Linked DNA regions of Drosophila melanogaster. The gene in region 3 interacts genetically with the main gene of each other region. Each region holds a gene or a part of one and is shown on either strand. Other genes may lie near its edges.

Region 1 (6,063 bases), on a different chromosome or scaffold from region 3:
AAATTAACGTCCATCAGGCTGGCAAAAAAGTCAATTTGAATGATTAAATAGAAAAAGCTGTGGAAAAGTTGTGTCGCCGTACCGCCTTTTGCCATCGACCCCAAAAACCCAGGCATTTCCAATCCAAGTCCGTAGAGGTGCGCCAACCGGGCCAAAACGAGAGAAAAAAGCGATTAGTGTGGTCTTTTGTGTGGCTTAAGCATCCCCGATGCCTTCTTTTTGGCCATTCTCCCAGGCGGATTTACATTTATTAATTCCCCTGGCAGATGCCAAAAAAAGGGTCAGGTTTCGGGGCGGGCTATATACAAGTAAATAAAAACATGTGAACGTTAGCGCAAAAAGCGATAATCCATCATTTTTGTCCCATGTTGACTTCGGCAAAGCGAACAGTGGTACCCGATCTGAGTTACCATCCATGGTTCCTATCACATGACAGATTTTACAATACACTTCTCTTCAACTGTTAGTATTAAATAAATTTATTAATGCACAGAAAATGCCATAGTTTAAATCCATTAAATCCAAATAGCATTTCTCCCACTGTTTTCCATTGACAACACCCCAAAGTTCGTGGCCCTGGCAGAGACTTGTAATCCCTATCGCATGATTATGCCAAAAATGAACCAATCCATCGCAGCGCACGAAAAAGGTTAAGCTCAATGTCCCTGCAAGATGGGTCCTTCAATTCGGTGAGTGGGTGTGTGTGCGCCATACGGATTATCATGCCGCTCAGGAGCACCCAAACAATTTTGACGCAATGAAATGATTTTGATGAAAAATTAAAAAGCATTTCAATCACGTCGAAAGTTTTCTGACATCACAAAAATTGTTGCTCCTCCCGTCGAAAAGGGAAAATGCGGAGTGAAAATTTCGAGTGTGTGCGGATGTGAAAGCGGATGTGGATGGATGTGATGTGGTCCCCAACTCTCGTGTCTGGTAGTCGTTTATTTAGATGCTAATTTAAGTGTGCGCCTGGAATAATGCTTTCCATTTTAGTTAAAACGCTGCGAAAGTTGTTCTTCAAGGTGATGGGTATTCGTGGAAATGGTTGGTGAACCTGATTTATGTAAACTTTACTTTGCAAAATTATTTATAAGTACATACACATATCCTTTACCGATCATTTTAAGCGCATTTCTTAAGCAATGTTACTTGTTAAAATATGCTGTTGTAAATGAATTTGTTAAAGGAACACACAGTCATGCCATGTGCTAGACTGTGAAATGTTATTTTTATTTCCGGTCTATTTTTTTATGGCAGCCGCAAAGTATGCAATGAAATTTGGAAAGTTGGCTGGCGGCATCGGTCTTCGACTTGAAAATTCTACCAATTCACCGCCACTGTCGGCCATTTAAATAGGCAATGAAGCTGCATTAAGAATTAAAGACTTCATTAAGTCCGCAGTGCTGCACATTAAATAAACATAATGCCGCCTTTTGCTGCTTGCCTCGGCCATTGTCGCCGGGCGATTTCTTGATTTATTTTTTTAGCCGTTGTTTGTTGTTCGTGGTGCTTAATTCGCATTTAATCTCATCAGGCTGGCGACGTCCTCGTCAGGGGTGCATTGAGCCATAGCCCCACACCTCACACCCCACCTCCCAACCCCACCTACACTCACATCAGCCAGAAATGCCAGGCGACGGGACAGCCCGCCGCAGGTTTGATGGGGGCCACAGCTGCCGCTGACGCAGCAGCCGACTTCGCTGCCGACGTCGACGTCTGCAGGTGACAGGTGAGCATTGCGTTGGCAGCGGCAGTAAAAAGCATGTAAATGAGGCGAGGACTTAACCTAGACCAAGACCGAGCTCGGATATCTGCCGGCTGCGGTTATATAATGTTGTGACAAGCCATCCCCGGCGACCAAAGGTGTTAAACCAGTGGATCCCATCTGACTGGCACGTATAAAAAGCAGAGAGCTTAAGTTCGCCTCTGGTCTGCATGCTTGAATATATGAAAAACATACTTTAATATATGTAAAGTATTTATCTTTAATAACCGTGTTGATATATATAACTAGTAAATAGAATTCATCATCGACTGAATGTAATAAGTAGAAGACATGACATCATATCATATCCATTTTTTTCGGTGTACAATGGGGGGCGTGGGCATGAACGCGTGCCAATTTTTTTGTTTTTTGTTTTTTTTTTTTCCACCTCTGCCAGCAGTTAATCAGAGAAATTAAGCAATGTACTAAGCGCGGCAGAGCAGAGACGACACCAACTGTGCAGCCGACGAGGCTGACGACATCAGCCAGGACATCCAGCTGTGCAGGACAATGGAAGACAGCGGGCGCAGACCCAGGACAAGTAGTGATTGCCCCGACAATTGCTGTGGCGCGTTGCCCATTCAACTGGGCGAGCAGTTCAGCAGTTTAGCGGTGGGAGCAACAAGAGCAAACATTCCAGCCCAGCTGATGGGGATTGGGATCGGATGAGGAGGATGAGGAGGAAGAGGTGGCTCCGGCGGCCACCCAAAACCATCACACGCACAGATGCCAGCTGCGCTGGTTGTTGCTATTGTTGCCATTATTCTTGCTGGGATGGCTGGCGTCGCTGCCGGCGTTTTGCCGCCGCCGAGGCATCGAAGTATTCCTCAACAAGCTCAGCCAGCAATCAGTTGGGCGCTGGATACGGACGCGAGCAGTGTGGACTATCGAATTGGCCAAAAGCAGCAGTATAAAATCGAAAATATATAGCGTACCGCGGCGCAGCAGTCGGTAGCAACAATAGGAACGTGGTTTTTTGGCCATAGCCTTATAGCCCCAAAATTTATGCCGTTCGTTTGTCAATAAAAAAGCAAACGAGAAATGTAAACAGAAACGCAGCGAAAGGAAGACATCATATTGAATTTATGGTGTAGGTGCAGCAACGTGGTCCTCGAACCTAAGGACACCCCGGTGTCCTTGTCGTCAGGGTGTGACTCGGCACAGTTTGGCTGTGTCGGTGTCGTTTGCACGTGCCCTCACCTTTAAACTCACTCTCTTGCCTTTCGCCTCACCGTGATCCTTGTGTGCTGTCCTTTATTGTTGTCTTACCTGTGCTACCCACCTACAATTACCGTTATCGTGGAAGGACCAAATTGCTTTTGCCCCCGCCACGTTGCGAACAATTCCGGTCGAGTTCGATACCACACGGCGTATGCGAAACGTTTTTGAGGTCTCCGAAGCTCAACGGTCGTAGTATTCCGCATGATAATTGAATTTTTGTGGCGGCTGCTTTGTGAAACTCTCCTAATTGGAAATTTGTTATTTGCGTTCGATGAACTGTGAGCGAAAAAGAGCCCAAAATTGAAAATGTCCCGTGACAATCAAGCGAAATCGCCAATAGCCAGTACAAAGTGAACCGGAAAGTTGTGCACTAAAGCTGAGAAAACATGGAGAACACCACAATGCTGGCTAATATTAGCCTAAATGCAACCAGAAATGAGGAGAATATCACCTCATTCTTCACCGACGAAGAGTGGCTGGCCATCAATGGCACTTTGCCGTGGATAGTGGGATTCTTCTTCGGCGTCATCGCCATCACGGGATTCTTCGGCAACCTGCTGGTCATCCTGGTGGTGGTCTTCAACAACAACATGCGCTCCACCACCAACCTGATGATTGTCAATCTGGCTGCCGCTGATCTGATGTTCGTAATCCTCTGCATTCCCTTCACGGCCACCGATTACATGGTGTACTACTGGCCATATGGAAGGTTCTGGTGCCGCAGTGTCCAGTACCTGATTGTGGTGACCGCCTTCGCCTCCATTTACACGCTGGTGCTGATGTCCATCGATCGGTTCCTGGCGGTGGTTCATCCCATTCGCTCGCGGATGATGAGGACGGAGAACATTACCCTGATTGCCATCGTGACTCTGTGGATCGTGGTGCTGGTCGTTTCGGTGCCAGTGGCCTTCACCCACGACGTGGTGGTAAGTGGGAGTGGAAGAGTGGGAGGAGTGGGTAGAATGCTATAAGTGGGCCTGCTGTGCCTGAATTTGCTGTGAAGAACACGGGCCAGGCAAATTTATTGCTTTCCATCATCGTCACCTCGTTAGATTCCTCTCGCTGCACGTCAATGGTGCCGACTGCCTGGTTCTAATGTAGCTATAGATACCTAGATAGATGGTCTGCCTTCTGCCAGATCGTAATCCAGAAAGCGAAGACCCCGCACAAACCAGCGATCGTCCAATCGACTGATCCTGATACAACTCATTTGTTTTTACTATATGCCCCTATTAAAGTATCCCCATTTTATCTTATTTTCTGTTTTGTGTTTATATTGAAAATTTCGCGATGCGCGGCGCCCGATTTGTTTTTGTTACTAATTTGCTATTTTGAATTCATAAATTTTTAATTATAGACCAGATAGCCAGCGAGAAACACTTGCCAACTGGGCGGTATCTGCCCATATCTGCCCACCTCCTCTCCGTGTGGCTTGCAAAATTTCAAATTCAACTGTTGATCCAAAAGCGCGTAAATCATGGGCAGTCGTAAGTCGTAACAAGCGGCCATTATGGAAACTTTGCACTTGCGAACTTTGGGCGCACACTGCGTATGATAAATGTCTTCGCGGGTGGCGACCTTGAAATGCTCATCTTGGACATTAGGCTTTTATGATCGATGCGAAAAGTGCGAGAAACAATTTAATTGCGGAATAATCGACGAAGATCGGAATTGTTTTGCTCGAGATCAGCGGGTGATATCAAAAATGAAAAGGGGAATTTACCGGCGATTTTGAGGATATACAATGTATTTGTATTTGCAGACTTTAACCTTAAGTTTTTATTCGCAAGAAAACACTGGGATTATTAACTAATATTCAATTTTCCGGTACAGTTCAAACAATTGTTGAGTGCTATTTAATACTGAATATCTATCATATTTTTTCATTGCGAGTATCAACTACACGTAATTATGGTCGGACATTGGTTCCAATTTCTGTTGATACTCATAAATGGCCCGCGGGCTTTTTCCACTGATTTCCCAGTGCCAATAAAGCGATTCCCACATCACACATGACCAACTTTTTGTTTGTGCCGTTGTGTTTCCCCTTTTCCTTGGCCAAAAGCGACAGTCGCGGTTAATTAAACGAATCTCATCTTCACACGGATGATGAACTTTTTTTATCTGTGAGATGGCAATGGCCCACTGTTGCTCCCGGTGTTGTTATTGTAACCTAATATTTTATTAAATGGCATTTCACGCTTCGTTATATTGTTATTTTTGTCTCGTTCGGTTTTTGTTCGCATTGGGGAGAGTGCTCCAATGGGTGGCATTATTGTTTGTTTATGTGTTTGCTTTGCTTTGTCTAAGGATTAAGCTGGAAAAATAGAGCCCACATTGAATGCTCATATGTGTGCTTTGCTTTGTTATCTGGTGTCTGCGTGTGCAAATACAAAGGAACAGGCGATAAAAAGGCATAATTAAGTCATGTTTGATCAACATGTTAATTAACAGTTTGCTATTAATTATTTCCATATTACATTGCCCAGCTACATGCTTGGTATATGCATATCAAATGAGCCTGTGAGAGCGTGTGCCATTATCTTTTTATTAGAAATCGATATCAAATAATAATCATAAATGCACATATGTCCGACTGCGTAACTAGATATGCGATCTCCAGGTCATGGCATTGATTGACAGCTGTTGGCTGATTTCTCGCGAACGAGGAAAGGGCATTAATGGCTTGTCAAGTCTATGAAGTCGTTGGGTTTTGCGGAGAACATGCCAGCGAAATGAACCCATAAATCAGCGGAGGGTCTGGCCATGATTTGTCTACTTCTGTGGCCTTGGCCACTTGACGCTGCGCAGATTCAGAGTTCGAACTCAATTTGTGGGCCAACATCGCTCGCTCAGTGTAACGAAAACAAGGGCGGGCCATAAACAAACATTTTTGTAAGCAATTCATGCCGGCATTAATGGGAAGATTTTTTAAATGCAATTTTCCACACGCATTCATCGATTGAAAGCGCGGTGAAGGGGCGGAGATTGTAAACAAAAATGTAAACAAAAGGCTGCGAATATTTTTACGATTCACCGGGCAGTTTACGACCCTCCTAAGCGTCAGCAAACCA
Region 2 (5,790 bases), on a different chromosome or scaffold from region 3:
GCGGGGCCATCCGTTTGAGTGAACTAATCCACGCCGAGTAAGCTGCACTGCATCTGCATCCACAACTATGGAAGAAAAGAGGACTCCCCCTGATCAATGCAAATGTAATGTAATTGCAATATGTTTAGTTCGCTCTGGGAGTAATCCTGCATCGCTGTTCCCCGACCAACAACTCGTATTGCTCGTATCCGTCATCAATTCAGGGCAGGATAAATGTAATTGAGGCGGTACGAGACCTTATGACCGGGGACAAAACGAGGACAATGCGATGGCGATTGCCGGATGGAAGGGTCTGGTCTGGTCTGGTGATTGGGTAGCCAATATAAATGCTCACACTGAAAGAACACAATAAACATACAAGTATGTCTTTCCACAGAGAAAAAAATACTCAGGAGAAGAGTAAAGTGTTTTAACATAACATACACGCATTTTTGGCAGGATCATATAAAAGTGGAAATGAATCCTTTTAACGTATTTTTGCTCGGAATGAAAGAGAAACCATATCTGTTAGTTAAGTAGTGAATGAATTACTTTTCTCTCTCGCAGCGAGCACGGGCTGAAAAAGCCGCGCCAAATTGGCCGTCAATTGGAGTCCACTCAAGGGCGACTCACTTTTCTCCAGTTCAGTTGGGTTCACATCGCTCTGGCGCTTTATCATCAGGTTGTAAAAGCCCCCATAAAGGCAGTCATTAAATGGCCAAGTGATGTCAACATTAGGTGTGCCACGCCCACCGCCCACCGCCCCGGACACGTGGGTCGAAACCATCCACTGGGATTTGCAATATGTCGCCAACATATTCATCATCGAACCCACTTCCATTCCCGCTGAACTCGCAGTCCGCTTTGCCTTTTGATGGCGATGGCTGTCAAAATATTGACAATTGGTCTTTAGTTGGCGTGAAGGTCGACTGCACATTAACTGCAGGCACTCAAGGGCACTTTGGTGGGCGCTATTAGGTGTGGGAGGTGTGGGCGCTATTACAGGGTTAGGGCGTGGCCAAAGCAGCGTAAATCTGTGACACTTTTTTTTTTTTTGGCCATCTCTTCGCGAAAAGTTTACGCGGCCAGTTAGCGCGCGATTATCTTCTAATTGGATGCTAATTCCCAACCGCAACCCACTTATGTTTATGTACCTCCTAGCTTCCCGATTTGCAGGCCAGGGGAACTGCTAAAATCGCTGCGTGACTTACTTTAAATTCGTATAATCGAAACGAAATCAGATTCGGCCGAGATGTTGACTTTGTTTGGAAATCGCCCGCGTCGCGCTCTTGGATTTTGGCAAGTGCTGACGTTCGGTTTGCGATTGGGAGGTTGTTGATGTGTCTGCCCGAATATTTATAGAAGCAATTGGAATGGACCAGCTCGAAGATGGGGTGTCAGGCGGTGCCAGGAGCAGCCTAATGAATCCATCTCTGGGTTCGACTTTCTCGACTCGCTGCACACGTTTCCCAGCGGGATGAAGGGCTTTCCCAGGAAAAGGATTGCCGTCCAAATGAGGTAGCTACAGGGAGCCTTGGGCCTCGGAAACGTGCCTGCAATAGCCACTCAGTTACACAGAAAGATAAATGATGTACTTTTGGGAGATCATTTGCGATGACTATGACAAATTATTTTTTAAACTAATGAAATGCCATGAAGTAAATCATTATTACTAATGTATATTTTAAAAGGAAATTATAAAAATAATTTCCACATGAAATGTGTTGTTATGACTAGTTTACAGCCTGCTTTGTATATGGCTTCTCTTTATCATCCATTGCAATTGTTTTACCTATTTATTTCGATGTTATCACCATTTTCCACATGGGTCTATAGCCTTTCCTCAGCAGCATAATTTACTATATTTATCTCTTTATCACACTTATAACAGCGCCTTTTGTAACTTTGCAGTATGAACATGGAAACTGAGTTCATTGGATCGGCCTAAGTTTGTGATAAGAGGCCATTGCAATTGCATTGTGAGTGCTGAAACGGGGAAACCCCGGCCAACTTGTTGACACAAATGCTGCACATTCATGCTTCAAATATAAGCATAAATATTTCTTCACTTTTATCAGCAGAATCGAAAGGGTGCGATAATCATCGAATGCTCCTCGAAGTCGAAATGACTGAACCGAGTGCATCGGACATTTCTGCACTTTCGAATGCAATGCGTTCGAGCGCCGCGTTTGTCGGCGTTCGGAGGCTTAACCGGAAACTTTTAATTTAATTAATTTATACACAAAGGCGTAATCAAGAGCACTGGCGACTTGAGGAGGTCGAAGGACGGGCGGTAGGCGGTGGGCGGTGGGCGGTGGCATGCGAATTGCGGTTACAAGCGCCGTGTGCATCTGATAGATAGATAGATACACCCCACCTTCTCCACCTATGCCCGTGCCATACCATCCCATCCAAACCGAACCGAACGCTTTTGATGTTCACTCGCCCTGCTCGGTTCATTTCGCCATAGTTTGCTTTATTTCCCTGCCCATCGAGTGCAATTCCAAAAAATCCGCCATAAGTAGGAGGCTGGCATCCAAAAGATACAAGATGTATCGCTAATGCAAACTGCAGATGTCTTTTCTTTTCGCTACGCGGCAGTAAGCGGGCAACAGGTGAACTTTGTTTATTGATGCACTCGTTCCGCTAATTTGTTTGCTCGGGATGATTTAATGGGCTGCCCGCTGACAGGGTCAAGGGTGGGTGGACATGCGAATGGATATATGGAGGGATCCGCATGGATGTGCGGATGGATTGATATATGGCTGATGGTGATGACCGGAACTGGATGTTATCAATTAGCCAATCAACAGGACATGCGATACGTGCAACAGGTGAAGACTTTCCCCGCTGCGAAAAGCAAATATTTAGTTGCCTTTGCGGTTAGCATAAACATAATGCTGAGTCCGAATTTTATCGATTTTCTTTTTCGGCTCTCTAACATATGTTCTTTTTTCGTTTGTTTGCACTAGCACTATATATAAATTAAAGTAAACTTTGGGGGTAATTAGTGTAGTTACCTGGAATCGAAGTTGGATTTCCAGAGAGTGGTCCTAAAACTAGAAGGAGGAGCCACAGGTGGTTTTATATATCAGAGAAACAAACACCTTTGCGAATTCATAAATCCGCGATCCAATCACCTGTTGCGTCTTGATAATCTCTCTTTGGCTCTGTATTATTTTCTTATAGCCCGAGACGCTAATTCAATTGACACTCTTTCGGGCCTCGCTGGGTTGCCATAAAAACTGGATGGAAAACTTTTCCAAGCTTATTTAGTTTGGCATTTCATTGAGACGGAACCGCACAGACACAGGCACACACGCACCGGATTTGTTTATTAATTTTATTATTTATTTTTTATGGCATTCGAAACTGAATTTTAAAACTTGATACCGCTGCGATATGCGATTCTCCACTGCGGATATGCGAAATATCCACCGCGCTGGCCAACGCTCGACGGCAAAATGCGCGAATGAATCGCACGGATAGCAAGCCCAAGCAGTTGGGATTCGGGCTCGGGATTTCCGAATCGGGTAACCCAACTGGGGGACTTCGGGAAAAGTGGACGAGCCCCCGAGCTGCGGACTGCGAGCTGCGGACGCCTGTTGAGTGCTTGGAAAAGCGCGGAGAGTTGCAGTTCTACGGCTTGGCCTCCGTCCGGATATAATCGTAAACGAAATATGCTGGCTCTTTTCTTTATAGCTATGATTTGTGGCTGTCGCCGAGATTCCGCTCGCTATTTCTGGCCGCCGTTTGTGAACGTTCTTTACACTTTCAATGGCACTCAAATATAATTGAGACGTAAACCGCGATGGGCAATATGTATTTTCTTAGACGGACCAATAAAGAATCGACGGGTCTGCCAATCAATCGGCATCCGCTCATTGATATTGATGGCCCAGCTGGTTGATCCTTGGCTTCGGAGGGGTACTACTTTTCGATGCGGATGTGCCCAAGAGCACGCAACCCCCGAAATAATCGTTTGGCCAAAATCAATTTGTGCCATTGTGCTGCTTTATGGGCTGTCATCCCGGTATAGAACCAGAAGCCCCCATAAAACCCCCATCGATCCATCGGCTTGTTAGCAGTTCATCAAAATTGTTTGCCGCATATTAATTGCCCGATGTTGGGGCTGCTACTGTGTCAAGCGGAGTGCGATCGTATTGCTCGAGCATCGGGTATTATTAATGCCCCCATACTACAATATCATATCGGACCATCACCATCGACTGGGAATATCGTTTTATTGACATTTACGTGCACGTGACTGGCCTGCGAAGATGTTTGCCTTCTGTCTAGCGAATAGTCACTGCTTTAGATGTGCAAACAAAATCGCGATGCTTGCTGCAGCCAATCCGGCGTATACGTAATGAACTGAGCAGCACTCTTTTTGCCCGGATCTGTAAGTTTTAGAACCATATCTATGGGTCCACGTGCTGGCAATTTGCACGCCCATTTTGGGTTTTACAAGGAGATTTGAATGCAATCGATTCGGAGCGTAGTCAGCTCGCACAATTTATGACCGCACTTTAATTGCTTTTGAATTTTAAGAAATATTTAAATTGTGCGAGAGACAGGGAAGTGCGAGTGACAGAGACAGCGGGAGAGCTTCACCACAGCCGTTGGTAAGCTTACGGTAAAACTTCGAAAGGTTTGTGTCTCAGCTAATGCTTAACGCTTTAAATGATTATTTAATCTTTAACATGGATAATTTCCTTGTAAAAATAAAACGATTATTTTGGATGGAAAATGAGAAAAACTAGTTGATCAAAATAATCCATGTTTCCAAGTGGTTTTTTCAATATTTCTTGACTGAAAATGGTCGTAAAGTAAAAATAATTACTGTTTTGTGCAGCTAATTACCAATGCTTACGATCCCTGTCCCGTTTTTTCGAATTAAGAAAAAAAAATTTTTTTGTCAATTTTCGAATTTTTATAAGGGGTAACATCATCAAATTTTGCAAAAAATCGCAAAAATTTAAAGTTTCCAAATTTGAACACTAATCGATTGGGAAGTTAATTAGGAGTAAAATAAGATATGCCACTCCACTTTTGAACCATTATTTTCAAAGTTGTGTCCAAAAAACGCATTATTTTTTAACCAAAAACAGGGAAATCGAGCTTGGACCAAAAAGTCATATTTACAATTTATAGGATTTATAATTATAGAATTTTTTGAATGCCTATCAAATGGGACTTAACCAGCACTATCAACAGCTCATTAATAAAAACAACAGATCAGCAAAACAAACTCAGTTCTCAAACTTTTTAGCAGAGCGGGCAAACGGCTCAGATCCATATGTTGGCCACTCGTATCCATTCGGTCTCGGTTATGTAGAGCCGCAGAAATGCGATATGGGGAACCCCTCCCCACCAAAAATTGCAGGCACATTCAATGAATTCCACAGTCAGTCGGAAAAATGGTGGGGGGGGGGGGTATGGAAAATGCATGGGTGCTAAACGTTTAATAATTGTCGTTGCCCACATGTACACTGCAAAGAATTGTACACTCAAAAATAATCCTATTTTCGTTATGTACGTTTAAACTGCGTTCTTTCAGTGGATCTCTCTATATATAAAGACATTACAGATAATTAAATTGTGAGATATTAAGCACAGAAAGGTTGACTGCATTTCTCATTGTGTATAAGAACAGAGAGCTGATCTCCCCACTGCACTCGGAGTATCCAGTTACTCGCCGGGCTTCAAACTATCCGAGTTCCCGCGTTCTTGCCAATGTGAATTTTGTTTACCAGCCATATCCATATCTTATTTAAATATGAACATTTCTGCCGCCCCACAACCGAGCAG
Region 3 (4,290 bases):
TGATTTTTTTTTGAATTGGTGGCTAGAAGGTGATCTTAGTAGAGTATCCGACGTCTCCGGCGACGACGTCGCCTACGTCCGGAATTAAGCGGCATGAAGACCATCATATCCGAACCGATTTGTGGTCCCGTGGACGAGAGCAACGGGGAGTTCTGCTGCTGGCGAGGATCGATGCAGGGGCAGTTGGGCAGTGGACGTGCTCCGCCGGTCAGGCAAACCAGCGGCTGCGATGGACACGTTGGCATCGGAAGCGGCAGAGTGGTGCCGGCGGTCGTGGTGGTGGTCAGTCCCGTCGTCGATGTGGTGCTACTAGTGGTACTGCTGCTGGTCGTGATCAGGGGCGGCGTCACCGGCGTCTGGGGATTCGGAGGCGTTGGCTGGAACGTCGGGATCACTGCAGGTGTGGACGGAAGAGCGGGTTGGGGCGGTATTAGTGGACCAATCGGCTGAAACGGCGGCGGCGGCGGGGGCGGCGCAGGGTATGGAGGTCCCTGCGGCGGCGGCAGGGCGTAGATGGGATAGTAACCTGGTGGGTACAGCGGGCACCAGCCCTTGATACTGGCCAGATACGAAAGGAATGGCCAGAAGTACACCTTCACACAGAACTCGTCCAGCAGTACCATTTCCAATCCGTAGCCGTATCCGTTTATCCGTGCTTTCTGCTTAGCCACCAGGTGGCAACTGTCCACAGAACTCTCAATTTTCGGCCAATTGCAGCTTGGCCAAGTGGAGCATGGCGGCCCAAAATGATTATAATTCAATTGTATTTTAGTGGGGCACAATTATCCAAAGAGTCGACTGAAATGACCAAGCTCAGGAGCGGATTGAGGGTAACGAGGGGTCAGATGGGGTCTTTAAAATTATTATATTTCATAATTTATGGTTTTAATGTTTCTAATATGTTATATTAAAAATAAATAAATAAATAAAAAATAATTTTCATTAACAATGTTTTGACGGATGTGTATGAGTAAAGAACCTTTTTGTAGTTTTGATAAAAATACTTTCAAATGTTTAGTGACCCATTACTCATATTATAACGACATCACTTGACTGTGTAACATGTTTTGAATGACTACTGGGAAATGCACAATTCTAAAAACTTAATTCAGTGCATTATTCAAGCACCTAATGGCAGATTCAACGAATTCACACCGAGATGCATCGTTAATTCGGGGGAAATTAAAATAACTGGGCCAGTGGCGCTTGAAATCCGATTGAAATCGTTTGTGGAGGAGATCTGCTGAAATCATTAGCTGGGTGTTAGATGATGTGCTCTGTGGGGGATGGGTTTATGTTGACACATTAAATGGAATGACACGATCTCATATATCTTAAGCAGATCTATTGGCACGATCGGTTGGGTATTTTTAAACCGAATGTTGAACTAAATATAGAAATTCACACCACTTACACTTGACGGACGACAAGATGGATAGACCCATATAAATGAATAGAAATTTATGAGCTTTCGCGAGGCCGGAGATCGCACACATTCTGATCCTATGAACTACAAAGACGAACTGAACCCGTGGGCCACTGACACACCGGAACTTAAGCGCCAATGGAAAATGATTTAATTGTGGCAATTTTCGAAATCAAATTAAATTTAATCGACAGGTACTAGCGGCTTGTTCGTTTTTTTTTTTTTGGGGGATGAACTTGAAAAGTTGAAGGATGGGTGAAGCACCCACTGAGGTTACTCATACATATTCCCCAGATTGCAGCTAGCAGAATTAATTTCGGATGCGCTTATTTATTGTTGAGAAAGGAGTGTTCCATTAAATCTAAATGCCGACTACGACTACCTTGATAACGTGCTGTATATACGGGTAATTATATATATAGAGTGTATGTGTGTGCGTGCTAGACATCGTCCGAGATCCGGACCAGGATCTGGTTGGCCTACAGCTATCTACTCGCGGTGCTTGCAGTCCAGAAAGAGCTGTGCCTGAGATTGCACGAAGCGGAAGATCTCGAGCAGCATTTCGTTGGAGGTCTTGCAGTTGCCCTGCTGTGTCTCGAAAAAGGTTCCAGGACCAGCTCCGCCCACCGAACGCTTGCCCCAATCCGGCGAGAAGGTCAACTATATAGAGGAAAATAAAATGAGACATCAGAAAGGGATATCCTGCAGCGGGATATGAATTCACTCACTTGACACTGGACGCAGGCCAGCAGCATGAAGAGCACGGCTGCAATGAGGACTTCGCTCTTGGGATTCATTCTGAGTTCTATGCTGGTCCACTTCGATTCAGCCCGCTTTTATACCCATTGAGCTCGAAGGGAAGACAGCTGGTAAGTAATTAACACAGCACTAGCAAGGATTCTTTCTATAATTGCTTGGATTGGGTCGGAATTTTCAATTCCAGTCGAGAGCGTCATTGAAACAATCTTCTATGTGGAAGCGTTTGTGATTCTCCATGTGTTTATTAGAATTGCGCATATGTTTAATTTTAAATTTAATTATATATTTATTTATATACCATTAAATAAGTTCGTTAAATTAAGCAGTGTATAAGAGTTAAAACAAGATTGCGGCTAAAGCAACTGTTGCAATACATTTGGCGAACAATAAACCATAGGATCCGGATCCGACTGGGGACATGTACAAAAGTATCGTTAAGTGAGTTGTGCGCGCCTGGCAGCTGCGGGTATAGTACAAAAATGCCGTGGGTGTAATACAGAGTTTGATGTTTTAGATTTCTACGCGCGAGAACGAGGCACTCAATTTGTTACAACAAAATCGGTTTGTAAGCAGTTAATATATGTATACGTATATATTAGTAGTAAATAACAATACAAATTACAATAACACATTATTACGTTTTGGCTTAATCGAAACAAACGTTCTGGGCTTAGTTATTGCATTATAAAAACAAATGGCCTGCGAGCCACGATTGGTAATAATCATGAAAACATTCGTCCTTAATTGTTGTCGTTGATCAACAAAATAATATTACAAAAATATATGTAGAAATATATATGTATATATAAGTTATTCGTGTGAATCTGTTGTATATATCTACCTATGTTTCGTGTTTCTGTTTGCATTTTGCATTGTTAGTTGTCAGTTGTAAGATTCTTCGTAGCTATTTGAGAGTGGCGAAGTTTATTCGATTCGTTCGTTGAATGCGCCATGCACCTGGGCAGGTAAGAAATGCACTTCGTTTGGGCTCGTTGACACGTTTTGTGCGGTTACTGGTTTCGGGTTACTGGTTTATCGTCTTCTCAACGGAATTCAAAGCTCAGTCGACGCGTGTTTTTCAAAAAATTTGGTGTTATAATCATTATATGTTGGCTCCTGCTTCCGCTGCGGCATTCAGGAGATTCTCTTCCATTTAGTTCCTTCTACATCAGGCAGCACTTCCTCTTGCCCTTCTTCTTGTAATCCTGCTCGATGAAGGGACGCTCGGCGATCTGGAACTTGCGCACGATCCTCACGAGCTCGTGGAAGGCCTGATCGACGTTGACCCTCAGTTTGGCACTGCACTCGATGTAGGGGATCATCAGGTTGCGGCTGGTGTTCTGCGCCTCCTCCAGGGACACCTGCTGCTGGTGCTTCAGGTCGCACTTGTTACCCACCATCAGCATGGGGAACTCGTCGCGATCCTTGACGCGCAGTATCTGGCGCTGGAACTTGGGGATCTCATCGAAGCTGGAATGATCGTTGAGCGCGAAGACGAGCAGGAATCCCTCGCCGGAGCGCATGTACTGCTCCCGCATGGCACTGAACTCCTCCTGGCCAGCCGTGTCCAAAACTAGGTAAAATATCAGGTTATTATGAATCTGGTAAGGGTAAAGAAAGGAAGCTTACTGTCCAATTTGGCTGGCACATCGTCGATGTTGCACTGCTTCGTGTACGAGTCTTCAATGGTGGGATCGTAGTCCGTGACGAAGTAGCTCTGCAAGATTAGGATTAAAATTATTGTACCGCCAGCTGCCGAGGCCACAAAACTACATATATAAACATTATAAGACTGGGTTTTTTATGTGGGCGGGGTGCGTTTATCATTCCGCCTTTGATTTGTTTACACACGTCACTTTTATCATTCACTATCCACTATGCTCTATATATCTTGGGGAAAAGCTACAGCATATACACGAAAGATGTGCAGATGACGCAAATGACTAAAAATAAATGGAAGCGGGCGGTCATTGTGGTCGTGACCATGGCACAAACTCTCGGGGAATCGATCGGCACACCCAGAAAACTGGGGGCTGCGTCTAACGCAACTCCCTGGTTCTGGGCTCTGACCACTTGATCCCCAATTGGAGATACACACGGGGGTG

What was found.
Region 1: of Akh (region 3) and AstA-R2, changing one enhances a phenotype caused by changing the other (phenotypic enhancement), as found in Drosophila melanogaster (one study listed by BioGRID).
Region 2: of Akh (region 3) and AdoR, changing one suppresses a phenotype caused by changing the other (phenotypic suppression), as found in Drosophila melanogaster (one study listed by BioGRID).

What each region holds. Positions count from the first base shown.
Region 1 is NT_033777.3:28,741,338-28,747,400, reverse strand, and holds the start of AstA-R2 (allatostatin A receptor 2), read left to right. Parts: upstream 1-2,618; 5' UTR 2,619-3,375; coding exon 3,376-3,915; intron 3,916-6,063.
Region 2 is NT_033777.3:30,146,162-30,151,951, forward strand, and holds the start of AdoR (adenosine receptor), read right to left. Parts: upstream 3,446-5,790; 5' UTR 3,000-3,445; intron 1-2,999.
Region 3 is NT_037436.4:4,139,519-4,143,808, reverse strand, and holds Akh (adipokinetic hormone), read right to left. Parts: upstream 2,343-4,290; 5' UTR 2,224-2,342; coding exon 2,155-2,223; intron 2,087-2,154; coding exon 1,916-2,086; 3' UTR 1,739-1,915; downstream 1-1,738. Other genes in the region: CG32260 (uncharacterized protein), read right to left, coding at 53-623; Ras64B (Ras oncogene at 64B), read right to left, coding at 3,349-3,758, 3,815-3,902. UniProt on the Drosophila melanogaster protein: Probably causes a marked increase in hemolymph carbohydrate.